2 linked regions of the Mytilus edulis genome follow. The protein of the gene in region 1 purifies or fractionates together with the protein of each later gene. This does not show direct contact. Links are inferred from orthologs where the notes say so. Each region holds a gene or a part of one and is shown on either strand. Other genes may lie near its edges. The genes, in order: rapamycin-insensitive companion of mTOR-like and target of rapamycin complex subunit lst8-like.

Region 1 (7,239 bases):
CTAGGGTAAATTTGAAAACAGAATAAATTTTTCCTTGGAAGTATACAATCGTTCAGTGTTTTAATTTACAGACTTAATCTGAATGATCAATTATCTGCTAATAGCCTTGGAGGCCATGTGGTCTTACATGTTTAACCCCGCCACATTCTGAATGTATGTGCCTGTCCTAAGTCTAGAGCCTGTAATTCAGTGGTTGTCGTTTGTTTATGTGTTACATATTTGTTTTTTGTTTATTTTTTGTACATAAATAAGGCTGTTAGTTTTCTCGTTAGAATTGTTTTACATTGTCATTTCAGGGCCTTTATAGCTGACTATGCAGTATGGGCTTTGCTCATTGTTGAAGGCTGTAAGGTGACCTATAGTTGTTAATTTTGGTGTCTTTTGGTCTCTTGTGGAGAGTAGTCACATTGGCAATCATACCACATCTTCTTTTTTATAAGTAGTTCATCTTCTGTATCAATAGCATTTCAACACTGAGGTTGTGACTTCAACTCCAATCTTTCTTCACCAGGATTGCTAGCTTCATCTCAATTGGCTTAAACCGACAGTAATAACTTGCCAATAATGCTGTAAGTTGCATTAAACATTGTTAAACAGTAAAAATAAATGTGTTATCTATTTGAGTTTAGATATCTAGTAAGTGATGTTTTCTAGTGTCAATAGTTCAAATTGTATTGTCAACCTGGTACATGTATGTAATAAGGAAACATATTTTTTTACATGATAAACATGTGTACCTGTATATATATATATTTTCCAATTATTGATAATATCCAGAAATATTTAATCTATTTGATAGAAAAAATTATTCAAAAGAACAGTTCGTCGATGTTTATGATCTTATATCATGTATATATTTAAAGACTTTCTTGCAGAATAAAACAGATCCTGTGAGTCACAGTAGAAATCATAGCTGTTATCTGTATGGTCTGACATGATGGTGAAAGTCAGTTTGTAGCCTTTCAACTTAATTTTGTAAATATCAAAATAACCCAATGAAATTTGGTTTTTTAAACAGTCATCTACAATTAGAGCAATATAAAACCAAACATTTGATTGTATGTTCTTGCACGCCTGAGAAAATAGTATTTCATTTTTTTTGTTTATATTAAACAACAAATGAATACAAGGGGAACAACCAGAGTTTTTCTTTAACATTTTCTTGTACTAAGAGGAATAATTCAATGTCTATTAAGTATAGTCTGTTTCATCAATCATCAAACAAATACCGAAATCATTTTCTCTGTAATGTTTTAGACCACTGCAAAAAATCTGTCTTGTCAAATTTGTTTGGTGAATTGATATATATATTTTGAAATTTTAAATTTAAAAAAAATGGGGGGGGGGGGGGGGGGATTTTTCTTATTTTTAGGGGGGTCATACTATTTACTTCGAATAATTAAAATTTCAATTTAAAACAAAAACAAAATAATTGGGGGGGGTTCTCATATATCTAAGCACTTGAAAACCAATTAATTAAAGAAAGATTTGCATTCATCACAGCTTTCACTAGTGGCAGGTAGAAAGGCCAGTTTATTCAATTTTTAATCAGATAAATGTGTTCAACAAGCATTTTAATTTATATTTCTGATTTTCATTCAAACTAACATCAAAGTCCCTTAATACAAACAAATTGGTTGACGCAAATTACCTAGGGAAACTCCCTTGGATACTGTGGATTCATTTTTATTCGTTGGATACCAATTTTCGTGGGTTTCGTGGGTACAGATGAACCACAAATTCATATGTTCAGCGAATAACATATTTTCAATAGGCTTTATATACAGAGATTGGCAAAACCATGAAATTATATATCCACGAAAATGAAAGTTTTCAGCAATCCACCAAAATTGATACCAATGAAAATAAATGAATCCACAGTATGCATAAAAAAGAAAACCAACCAATTGAAATATATTCTGAACTGTACATCAAATTGACAAAATGACTAAAATGATTTTATTTTCTGAATTTGTTTACTTCAATATTTAACATATATCTAGTGACAATAGTTCAAGCGGGACAGATTCTCGGGTCAGCCGGGATAGGGCTCTTCAAGGTTAGTTCGGCCATATTGGATAGGGGGCAGATTTTTTTAGAAAGATGTGAAAATAGTATGAAAGTATGGGAAATCCTATGTGTGTTTCCAAGCAAGAGTGCATGTGGGGATAGGAGAGGTCCTGATCCTGAAATCCCAGACTTTAAATCCTGACGTCCCAAAAATCCACAAAAAAGAATTCCCGGTTCACATAAGGGTCAATCCTGAAATCCCAAGCTTAAAAGACCTGATTCCGTAGTCCCGATAAAGGTCCTATCCCCCCTCAAGCAACTGCTCTGTTTATATGATGTTTTCTTGTATTTTTCACACCATTTTTACCTCCATTATGAAAATCTGCCCCCTATCAAATATGGTTGAACTAACCGTGAAGAGCCCTATTAGCGATAAGGTGTATACACAAACTCTACACAAGCTTCCGAAATTTTCATTTATGAATGCACTGCCAAAGTTTACCTGAGGTCATTTTGGGGAAACTCGGCATATGACATGTGGTGTAAAGATATTTGCTTCATATGTCAATTTTTCCAGGGGAAATATGCACCAAATGGTACATTTAGATGATGGATACTGTAATAGGCCTGTTATGTCCTGTCTGTAGACAGGTCTGACAGGCAGATCTGCACAATTCAAATTCACAGTAAATCAAATCTTATAAAATGACAGTAGTTGTGCAATGTTTTTCAACTGTGAGAATATTTGTTTCCCCATAGCAAGTTGTTTTTGTTGTAATTATAAAGTTGACATTTCATAAATAACAAACCTTTGGTAAAGTCCAATCGAAAAACTTCATCGCCACTGTCATTTCGAGCTGAAATGAAAGAAAAAAGTACATAGTTACAAAGTTAAGGATATAATTGAGATATGTAATGTAAATAGGATTTCATGAAAGATTTACATACATTTAAAACGCCCTGTTTTGTGTGACCGTATGCCCTGGCGAGCCCCAACGGCCGCCATATTTTTACTTCCTATTTTTACGGCTAGTCGTAAAATTATTCGATAGCAAGATACAAGGCAACTAAATTGTAAAATAATCTTTGTTCTCTTCAGATTTTAATACCAATTTGAAAATAATTTATTTATTGAAGTAAATCAAAACTACTTTGTTTACATCTTGTCTAATTTACGACAAGCAAAAGCTACTTTGACCATGGCCGACACAGGTGCCCCTAAAATTTCACAACACGAATTTACAAAGATTGCTGACAAATTATTAGGGTCGGAAGGTCCAGTGTTTGATAAGGATGGAAACTTTTACATGGTTGCTCCTGAGGTTGAAAAAGATGGTGCATTTGCAGGACAGATTTTAAAAGTTGATCTTTCAACTTGTAAAGTATGTTTTTGAAGCGTTTTCATTTAAACATGTACCTGAAAACCCCCCAGATATAAGGTGTGATGATTTTTTTTGGGTCGACCTGATACGCCAACATGGTAACTCTACTAGTCTGACGCCCAATTGGTCTGTCACCCCTTAGCTCCGACACCCTATATACTGGGTTAACCCCATTCCGGTGGTCAAAATGTTAATCATTATTCCAAACGCATTTTTCGAACTAAACGGAACAAATATGATTGAAATAAATAAAATTCAGTTATTTAGCTCTTCAATGATGCATAATATGTTACCCATTTGTCAAGTTTTATCAGTTTAATAAATGATTGAAAATCGGTGATCACCACCCATCATTGTTTTTGCTATTAACCTCTTTCCGGTGCAAAGGTAAAATATAGTATGGAGGACAACTTGGAACACTAATGCACCTTATTTTGTGCATCAAATAACGCTAATATTCTAGTAAGAAGTACAGATCAGCAAAACACGATTTTATTTAGGACAAATACACAAATTATTTTTGACAAGATGAAAAATGTTGAAAAGTCCAATATATGCAAGATTTTTTTTCTAAATTTATATAAAAAAAAAAAATTCTCATTCAAATTTTTGTTTTACTTTCACTCTTTTGTGGAAATTATTTTAATAATTCTATTTTGATGTCAATAGTGGGAAAAAAATATTTCACAAAGTTTCACTTTTTGAAAATCTACTTTAACTGAATAAATAGAAAAATTACATTAATATTAAACAGTTCTTTTAAATCTATTGTTTGTTGTTTTTTTTTAAATCAGAATAACAGTTTTTGGAATAGTGTTCTGTATATTGGACAGTTTACTGTTCTTTACAGTGTGGACAAAAGAAAGTATCCCCTCTCCGCAAGACTCTAACATCACTACAGAATTGGAGATGTGTCCAGTGACGGCAGTTATCATTGTCACATTGTGCCCATTTGACAAACACAATTCCTGCTAGTTGTCTGATCTCTGAGGGAGATTTCTTATTACAAACACAGCAAGTTTCACCGTCGTCATCATCGGTTTCATCACTGTCACTAAATGAATTCTCAAGACATATTGGTCCTCCTTTATCCTTGTTTAAACCAGATGTACCAAGACCTGCATTAACATCATCCTCTGATAATCTAATTTTTTTTTCAATTTTTTCCATCACAGTTGAACTTTTTCTTTTTACAGGTGCCTTCTTTTTGGTATCTTTTCCTGCTTTGTTTTGATTTCTAGTTTCCTTTTCAACTGTCTTAGGCTCTGCTTTTTTATAGGGTGGTTTAAAAGTTCCTTTCTTTTTTGACTGATTCAGATGATCCATATTTTTCTTTTTTCCTAAATTTCCTGTGATTGTGAAGTGTTTCCTTTTCTTTTCTGTCTTTTCAACTGAAACAACATTTCTTTTTAGCAGGAATCCGGATGGAGAACTGTTTACTGTACATGTGGTTATATTCGAAGAGTTGTTTGATGTGTTCAATTCAATTATTGGTTCTGCGGTATATATTTGAATGTCATCAGAGTACCTGCTTTCAGGAGGAACTAGAGTAAGCAACGGTTGACTATTTGATTCATCTTGATCTGATGAGATATCTTGTTCCTTTTGGGCTGATGATGAAGCTTCAAATTGTTGTATCGTCAGAGTGGCAGCTTTGTTGAATTGCTGAGAGGAAGTGTTGTCATCTTCTTGTGAAATTTGTGTATTATTCATTGTACTTGCTTCATCTGATGTAGCTGTGGGGTAAATTGTAGCTGGAGCAAGTTCGCTGGTGTCAACAGCTTTTGGGTTAAAAGGATATATCCCACTTTTCCTAAAAGATGATATCAAGTTCTGTGCAGATAGACCTTTCTGGTAGGGAGAACAAGACATTTGTCCTATGTTATACCTTGTAATTTTACATCCTGGATTTTTTCTCATAAACAACTGTGCCTCCCGGTTGTAACAAGCCTTTAATGGTCCAAAACACCCTATATCTAATGGCTGTAAAATGTGGCTACAGTGTGGTGGAAGTATGAAAAGAATGATGTTCTTTGATTCAGCCCAATCTTGCAAAGTTAAGCTCACATGTGAGCGGTGGCCATCAAACAATATAAGAAGAGGAGTGCCAGAGACATCATGTGATACATACTTGAGAAAATGCTTTTCCAGGTACATTTTGAATATTTCACTGTTAGACCATCCAGATTTACTGCATTGGCCATCAGAACCAGGTGGAGTCCCATCAAGAAGTAGAGCCCTGTCAAATTTAACACCCGGAAATACATAATAAGGTGGAACAGCATTTCCAATTGCATTGCCAGCACCAATTATAGTGACATTTGCAGATCTTGGCGATGTGACAGACTGGGGCTTAACAACAATGTCATGAACAATTTTACCTGGGCTATGTTCAGTTTGTAGAGCACTCTCATCCATATTAAATATTTTGTGTGGCTGTTCATGCAGATTGTTTTTGGTCATAATAGTGCCCAACTCTTTGTAATAGTTAGATAGTGTCTCCTTTGATGCACATCTAGCTCTCTGCATGGATAATTTCTGTGGTTTACTAATAGTTAGATTTGGCCATCTTTTCATAAAAGAGTAATACCATTTGTTGCTCAATATATCCTCTTGAGGTTTTCTCTTGCCCATAAACACAGCTAAATCAGTTGCTAGATAAATGACATCTATTCTTGAATAACCATAACCAATGCTGGCCATATGTGCAATGTGGTCCACCATTTTTTTCTCTGTAGACTCATCAAAAAGGTAATTGGAGCATCTCCCATCCACAGAAACCAAACCAAGTGTCCTATCTCTAAGCGTGCTTTCTGGAATACCATAGTTTTTTGCAGCTTTGTAAACAGACATTCCATTTTGTACAGCATCATAGGCAAATTTTAACGCATTTGGATCATACTGCTTTTTCTTCATTGTAAAAATATCTGTAATAAAAATGAATAGACATAAACATTTACAAAAGATCAGTAAAATCTTAAATTCAGTTTGAAAAAAATATTTTCATCCCCCCCCCCCCCCTTTATACCTTCAATTAATTATAAAGCACATTTCTTTTAATAATTATTGTGCAAGCATTTTGTCCTTTAATCACAGTAATATGTTCTTCATATTCATATTTATTAATTTTTATTAAATTCAATCAACATAAATAGTTTCATAAACATAAAAACGAGATTAATAACTTTTTTCTAAAATAAACTGTAAAAGTGTTCATTTTTGTTAATCAGGCTTTCCATAGATTTTTCAGAGTCATATCGAGGCTGTATCATCACGTGACTGTTGTTTGGGACGCCTTGCAAATGGCAGACGAGAAATCAATAACAATAAATCGATTTGGGATGATTATTCAATATTTTTAGATGGCTTGATATTTTATGGCATATGCATGAATTTGGGAATTATGGAAATCATACTATCGTGCGCTAATATATATATATTTACCTGTAATGAAGACTGTTTGACGTATTTACATTTCTTGATGACAGCGATGCACCAGTTGTCTGTAACCTGTAACCCCTGACCCTTGCACGCGCTTTTAGTTCAACAAATACCCGCAATTTAACATTACACCGGAATCAGGGATACACCGGAATGAGGAGAAGGCAGTATACACTGATCGCTATTTGTCCGCCATTACTGGACATCACACAGGTTCCAGTAAAATTTTGACATCATGATACAAAATATCTGACGCCAAAGTGATTGTTGTATGACGTCAGAAGTTCAAGTGGGAAAGATTCTGGGTCAGCCTGGAATAGCAATAAGGTGCATTAGTCTCATGTACCTAGTCCAAATAATTATAACATCTTGAAAGGCTATTAGGTGTAACACCACTAATTCGGGC
Region 2 (7,985 bases), on another chromosome or scaffold:
TACTATTTGAAACTTGCTTACAACTGGTTTTTAAGTCTTGTAAATGAGTATGCTTTGTATAAATTTTACAAACTCACCAGCTGCAGCAATCAATTGCTTGTCTGGAGTGATTTCCAATGCATTTACTTGCTAGAAAACAAATTAAGGAAAAACACAGGCAGCTCAGAATTGTGCTGAATATATATGGCACATGATATATGATAATTTATCTATCGCTTCGAAAACTAGAGGATGTTTTTTTTCAGCTAAAATCACATAAAAAACCATTTTATTCAACTTTGACATTGTATGGTGTAAATCTTTGTTTATAAGAATACAAAAAATTTAACATAAAAAAATCATAATTGTACATGGTTTTGACAGATTGTTCAGGCAAGCTGTGGAAATAATTTTATTGAATAAGCGACTTCTACTGTGAAGTATTACATATGCATTGTGACATAGAAAATCTACAAGTTAATGCACAATTTGAATGTCATGAATGTTGTTCATGTACTCTGTGACTATTATTGTTGTTGTTACCATGGTTACCAATTATGTCAATCAATTGTACCTGATTTTATGTATACTGATTTTATGCACTTTATGGGCCATGTAATTTAGGAAATAAAAATATTCTATTCTATTTAATATATCTTGCCACCCTTATTAACATGAAAAGGGAAGGTTGAGGTGTGACCTCTATAACACAACTGGAACATAGCGCAGAGGTGATTGACCATTTTGACTACCTATAGTCTATTTGTTTAGACTATGATTCAACATCTAGTCTCTAATGGATGTTGGTTCATTAAATAGATGTTCAATTTGATGACATTATCAGGTTGTCAAATTCTAAATTCCAAATCTATCTAAATTCTAATTTAAAATCAAGGACTTTTTCTATATACATACATGTAGGCCAACCTAATTATGGTCTGTTTTCTGTTTTCAAATTATCTTCTAACCCTCCACTGAATCCTCATGACAATGAATGAAAATTATTTGTAAACAACAGAATAAGATGTTATTGCATAAAAAATTATCCTCAAAATTTAGTTTTCATAATGTTATCATCAATATTTTAATGCAAACAGTTCATGCTAATGTAATAGCTGACTTTTAGGCCTCAAGGAAAACTAAAGTCGCTTTGCTAGGGTTCATGATATTTATTAATCAGTAACGTAAAACACCCTGTAATAACAATGATAAAGTTATACTAATTTTACAGATCAAATAAAAATTAGTAATACACAGAGCTCCAGATAAGAATTCACAAATTGGGTTTTTTACCCACCATTTTCTTATATAATTGGGTGATAAAGTTTTTTAATTGCATTATCAATTCCAATTCACCCCTCATTTTAATATCAAATTGGGTTTTTCAACACCAAGCTTCTTAATGTATTGGGTTTTTTCATCAACACAATATTGAATATTTAGGCAATATCAACCCCAGATTTTTTTCCATCTTAAATATGTTTCTTTCTTTGTTTAGCTGTTTTATTTGGTTTAGGGTTTATAGGGTTATTTGCTAGCTGTTTTATTTGGTTTATTGACTGAGAAGCAATTGTAGGTTTAATTTGTGTTCCATTCCAAACCTTCTGCCAGTTTTGTATTTTCTCATATAAACTGTAAAAAAAACGGATATGTGTATTCACAGGCACTCGTCTTGTACCTTTATGTAATAAATTCTGAGACCAGTGCCTGTGTGTGTATATATTCATTATAAATTAACCGTAAAATGAAAAAAAAATAGTATATAAACTCTAATTATACTTGAATGTTTTTGTTTTATTCCAATTTTCATAAATCTGGGTTTAGTTGTCTTTTATTAGAACTTTTGGTTTCTGATGCTTTATCATGTTATATTAAATTGATTTGGCCTTTCATCTTTCCAACTGATTTCGTTTTTGAGGAAACCCTGCTTTTATTAGAAATGTTCTCGTTAAGGTACGCACACACGCCCGTGTGTTCGATGGACGCTTCCTAAAAACACTGGCTGAGTCTTGTTATCATCATAACTTTCCCTAAGCTTTTCAAAAGAAGCAGAAAATATGCTTCTATTCAATATTTTTACCGGACATTCACTTTTGTTTTAATTCAATGTATGTTATGATAAATCCCGAGCAATGCGAAAAAAATATGACTTCATGACACACGCTTATTGGATAAACGCCGAGAAGATCGAAATGTTTTCAAAAACACGTGTACCTATTGAGCAACGGAAAACTCTAACAGGGACCCATTTCAGCTACTTGATGCAGGGATCTATTTTTAGAACGAAAGGAAATTTCCAATTATAAATATTATAAAAATAGTTTACGCAACAGATAAGGGTAAATAACGCAAATGGTAGCCAATAAAAGGGTTGAGAACTCATGGTTTTGGAATATAATTGGGTTTTCCTTTGAATTAATTGGGTTATTGAACCCTGCAATGGACAATTGCATTGGGTTTTTTATTATTTGTATTGCGTGATCACGCAAATACGCAGCTTATCTGAAGCTCTGAATACACATGATAAGTATAATATTCTTTCATTACACATTTTGAAAATGATGTATTTCATCTGATCATGTGCCATGAACATCACATTAGACATAAATTTTCAAATTAAGAATCTGCTGCAGTAAAAAATGGCACTACATGTATTATCATTTTTACTATTCATACAATTACTCTGCATTAGGTTGTTATAACTTGTGTAAGTGTCCATATTTATGTTTATATTTGGTTATATGACCATTGGAAATCTTCAGAGGTCATCTAAATACTTGATCAGATGGGGTAACTGGTAAATAAATTATAACAGATTTTGTAGATGGATACAGAGTCTGGATGTTGCACAGTTCTCAGACAAATTCCACTGTAAGCCTGCCAAAATCTGACCGTGTGATCATATCCTGCAGTTGCCAGTATAATTGGATCATTATTTGTGTTTGATCCGTTCATTTTAAACCAAAAATAAAAGATGACAACATCTATTATTCAAGAAATCATCTTTTAAAATGTTGTCTCAAGCTGCCTTGCAAAATAAAGTTTAACCGGAAGTAAATAAATACTGTCAAACGCACTTGTTAGAAATATTTTGATTAGCGGTCTGGATTGTCTCGACGACTCTTATTGGTCATCTAATTTAACTAAAAACATGGCTTCCAACTTCAGTGGAGCCCTACAGCTAACAGATTTGAACGATTTTATCACACCTTCACAGGTTAAACATAATAATTTTGTAGTATAAACAGTTCGTTTGTTATGTAGACATGTTATTTTCCTTGATGCTAAAGACTTTTTAATTCTATGTTTCTTTGAGGGGTCAAAATTTAGTACGAATGACTTTTGGTGAAACAAGACATCTCGCCCCACTGCAAAAGCGCCCCATTCTTGTTCACCAACTCGCCCCACTTTTCTATCAAATCGCTCTACTATGGTTACCCCCCCCCCCTTAATATGAGGCAGGCATTACCTGTGAAGTATACATGCATTATTTTTTTAATTCAAACATGTAAAAAAAAAAAAGAGAAACAGAAATACCGTGACGTTTCCAATTTTGGTTTCTGTTATTAGCGATTTTATTTGTGACGTTATTTAAGTTATAACGTCATATTCCATGTTAACAAAGAAACGCTGTCATCATGTAACGTTTTTTCATATAAACAAACAATTTTTTAAAATGAATTAGTATTGAGTTCCTTTCTATATATTTTACTAGACTGATAAATATATATTTTATTCAAAGTCTCATGCAAACAAGACTGCAAAAGGAAGTAGATTTCTGTGCAGATGCGGGGATTAAAAAAAAGTCTGAAAAAAAGGTTAACGATTTCGAGTTCATTAGTAGAATGAAATATTTTAGAAATTTTCCCAATTTTTATTTTTTTTTATTCTTCTACCGTAAAAGGGGACTTTGTCCCCATACAAATGTTGCACAACATAATACCTGCCCTCTCGCCTTATTTTTTGAAAAAGGGTAAAATCATGATAATATAAATTTATAAAATGATAAAGGTCATTTATATTTCGGTCTTGCTGGTCAAAAGTCATTGATGATTTATGATCGTTCATTAGTGGAGTGAATTGGCAGACCTTTGTTCAACAGCAGTTAACCCTTTTCATAAGTGTTGTGAATTGCATCCCTATTAAAGTTAGCATAGATGTAAACAAGTTTTTTATATAGATTAGACTCAGACTGTTGGTTTTCCTGTTTAAATGGTTTTACACTAGTAATTTTGGGGCCCTTTGTAGCTTGTTGTTTGGTGTGAGCCAAGGCTCCCTGTTGAAGGTCGTACGTTGACCTATAATGGTTTACTTTTATAAATTGTTATTTGGATGGAGAGTTGTCTCATTGGCACTCATACCACTGTCTTCCTATATCAAGTTAAATAAGTACAGGATTTTTGCCATTCTAGCTTTATATTTATGCTCTAATATTTTCTATTAGACTTCGTCCTAGGTCAATATAATCTGAACAGGTACATATATACATGATATATAATGTATTGACCTTTTCAAAAGTCCATAATTGATAAATATGTGATGTGATGAAAAAAAATCAATTTCAAATTACTGGTACATGTATATCAATTAAACAGTTGCGTTCATTTATTTTTAATTTAAATTTATGTTTTTACCTCATTTATTCAAGGAATGTATCAAACCAGTTAAAATTGACAGAAAACCTGGTAAAGTTGGTAAAATAAGAATTGAAGATGATGGTTCTTATCTGTCTGTTAATGATGAAGGACAAGAGACCAGACTAGAGAAGGCAAAGATCACATTGAATGACTGTTTGGCTTGTAGTGGGTGTATAACATCAGCAGAGAGTGTACTTATAACTCAACAAAGTCAAGAGGAACTTTATAAAGTACTCAAAGAAAATTTGAGATTGCAGGAGGTAAACATATTATTTTGCCTGAAGCTAATATTTAAAGAAGTTAATACTGCTAATCTAGCTTGTTTTAGTATAAAGATGAATATTTTAGAAGGTAAATGATCTGTATGATTGGTATTTTGAATACAGATGCTTTGTTACCTGAACATTAGGTCAAGGACTACTGATCATTATATACATTTTTTACATATTCAAATTTGTCTAGTCCTTGACCTTGTTTCAATGGATTAATGACAGCACAAAAATCTATCGTTTTTTAGTCTAATTTCCAGTTAATACAAGTAATCTAGGTCATGATATATTGTATGCAGATTTATTTCAAAACACACATGCTGATTAAAGGCTCACCTGTCTACAGCTATATGTAAGTGATCAACATTAAGAGTTCATGATAAGGTCAGTTTCTCAGATACTATAAGTTAACGGTCAATTGTGTGATAGTTTATGGAATGATTGTTTAAACTGTTAAAACACTGTATAACACAAACAATGGGATACATGTATAACTCCAGTCTTTCATATGAGAATCAAAAGTTAGGTTATCTTCTTTTGAAATACTTGTATTTTGAAAAAATAATAAAAGTGTAATGTGCTTAAAATGATTTAATACACATTGCAATATTTGAATTAATATATACCGCGGTAGGTATTATGATGATATATTGCATTTCAAATGTATTATTATTTTTAAGATTATCTCCCTTTAAAACATTTGTATATTTTTGATATTGAAGAAGTGTAAAAAAAAGAGGCTAAAAAATTATTAGCAAGACACATTGCATGCAATATTTCAAGAAAGATTTGATATATTTAGCAGTAAAAATGCCATTTTTACATCATTTGCATATTAAAGAAACTCCATTCTTTCAAAGACAAATCTTTTCTTACCTTAAGATGGCAAATAGTTGTAATTCTTTTTTTATAAGAATCACTGCTAAAAAAAATCATATGTTTTAATGAAACAAATAAAAAATCCACCACTGTGTACTAAAACCAAATTTTATGATTAAGTGTACAGTGTGATCTACATGACTACATGTAGCTATGGGACTGATTTCTGATTTGTGCAGACATTTATCTCTATCCAAAAACATCACTAGTTTTTGCTTTTACACGTTGGTGATTATATGATATTTGTATGACATCTTTATTTTAGACTGGACAAGCTGAGCAGCAGAAGTTAGTAGTTGTGTCAATAGCTCCCCAGTGTAGAGCCTCATTAGCTGCCAAGTATAAACTATCTGTACAAGAAACTGCTGCCAAACTGACAGGATTCTTCAAGAAAATAGGTAATTATCTATAAATTATAAATCTTTTTCTTCACAAGAAAAAATGAATTGAGACAAGCAAATTTAACAAAGGACAGCTCCAAACCCTTGTTTGGTAATGAAATTTTAGGAATATAATAATATGATTAAAATTCCCAAAACAAATTTGAATTTAGTACCCAATAACATGATGCAAGTTTTAATGGGTTTTGCTAAAATAAATACCATACAAGTGTCCAAATTTTATTTAGGGGTCATTTGAAATAAAACAATTCTCTTTACAACAGGTGGGTTTTGCAACTGTACACTTAGTTGAACAATATTTAGGCAATGAATGATTATCTGCTAGGAAAGTTTAATAAAATTGAAAACATGCATTCAGAGTAGTCTGTTTATTCCAGCACATGTACACAGAAATTATCAACTTGTTCAACAAAGAAAAAAATATGGTTTTGTGTACAACATTGTGTATGCTGCAAATGTGTTAATTTTCAATGTTTTGTTAATTTATATTTTCAGGTGTACATTATGTTTTTGATACCACATTTTCCAGGAACTTCAGTTTGTTAGAGAGTTGCAGAGAATTTGTACAAAGATATAAGGAATCAGAAACAAACAAAACAGCTTTACCAATGTTGTCATCAGCTTGTCCAGGTTTATATCATCTAAGTTAAAATTCAAAATAAGACACAATGTATATTATCATCGATTAATAGTAAGATTCACCAGTGGTATCATTTGGCTCACCGGTGTACACATTATGTCATCATGAAAAAATAGTATATTATACTTTCATATCATTAAAAAATATATTGAAAATTAAATATAACATTCCATTTAGAATGTCTTATCAATGATACCAACTACAATCATTGACAATACTAACAGACGAATACTGCTGTCCATTGTTAATAATCAGATTATCCATAAGGATGGGAAGAATGACATGTTCTTTAAACAACATGTAAATTTTAATAGTACATTTTCATGTACAATTTATATGAAATTATAAATATATTTTTGTGAAAACTTCAGGTTGGATTTGCTATGCAGAGAAAACACATGGACATTACATCCTACCCTACATTAGTACAACTAAATCTCCTCAGCAGATAATGGGTTCTCTAGTCAAGGATTACATGGCAACCAGTAGAGGGGTACCAGCCAACCTGATCTATCATGTGACAGTCATGCCATGCTTTGATAAGAAACTAGAAGCATCAAGATCAGATTTCTACAATGACATCTATAGTACAAGAGATGTAGATTGTGTCATAACCTCAGGTAATGTTCGCTACTTAGTAGTATTTACCTTTCCCATTTTATGTACAAGTATAATATTCTTTAAATATCACCTTTATAGACTCAACCAATGGGTATGACTAGTAAAACTTAAATGTAGGCATTGCAGGCGGTACAGTGATATATTATTGTTAACCTCTGTGTCATTTTTTATCTGGTTGAGAGTTATACATTTCTGCAGGTACATATAAATTTGAGACAAGAAGAATCATGATTGAAATTCAGATGAAGTACGAAAACATATATAAAAATCTTCTTTTTTATTTTAAACTGAACAGAAAGATGTGTAAAACTTTACCGGAATTTTTTTAAAAAGAAACTACATGATGTGTTTTTGTACTTTACCTGAATTTCTATCATGCATGATTTTTCAATGGAAATTGTGACATCACAATGCATTCTTAGTACCACAAGGATATAACTTCAATCATGCACTCTAGTTATGTTTTCTAAGAAAGATGTAATGACTTTTACATATACATAGTATTAAAATATATATTGTTGCTGCATTTTAGTTGAAGTTGATACAATGTTGCAGCAGG

What was found.
Region 2: the proteins of rapamycin-insensitive companion of mTOR-like (region 1) and target of rapamycin complex subunit lst8-like purify together in Homo sapiens (affinity purification with western blotting; 14 studies listed by BioGRID and IntAct, with this or other methods). This does not show direct contact. The link is inferred for Mytilus edulis from reciprocal best matches to the Homo sapiens genes RICTOR and MLST8.

What each region holds. Positions count from the first base shown.
Region 1 is NC_092344.1:106,558,724-106,565,962, reverse strand, and holds the start of rapamycin-insensitive companion of mTOR-like, read right to left. Parts: upstream 3,036-7,239; 5' UTR 3,017-3,035; coding exon 2,959-3,016; intron 2,868-2,958; coding exon 2,820-2,867; intron 1-2,819. Other genes in the region: diisopropyl-fluorophosphatase-like, read left to right, coding at 3,210-3,392. UniProt on the Homo sapiens protein: Component of the mechanistic target of rapamycin complex 2 (mTORC2), which transduces signals from growth factors to pathways involved in proliferation, cytoskeletal organization, lipogenesis and anabolic output.
Region 2 is NC_092352.1:37,093,574-37,101,558, forward strand, and holds the start of target of rapamycin complex subunit lst8-like, read right to left. Parts: upstream 3,050-7,985; 5' UTR 2,935-3,049; coding exon 2,812-2,934; intron 130-2,811; coding exon 78-129; intron 1-77. Other genes in the region: cytosolic Fe-S cluster assembly factor narfl-like, read left to right, coding at 3,131-3,196, 4,628-4,876, 6,030-6,162, 6,661-6,795, 7,177-7,425, 7,959-7,985.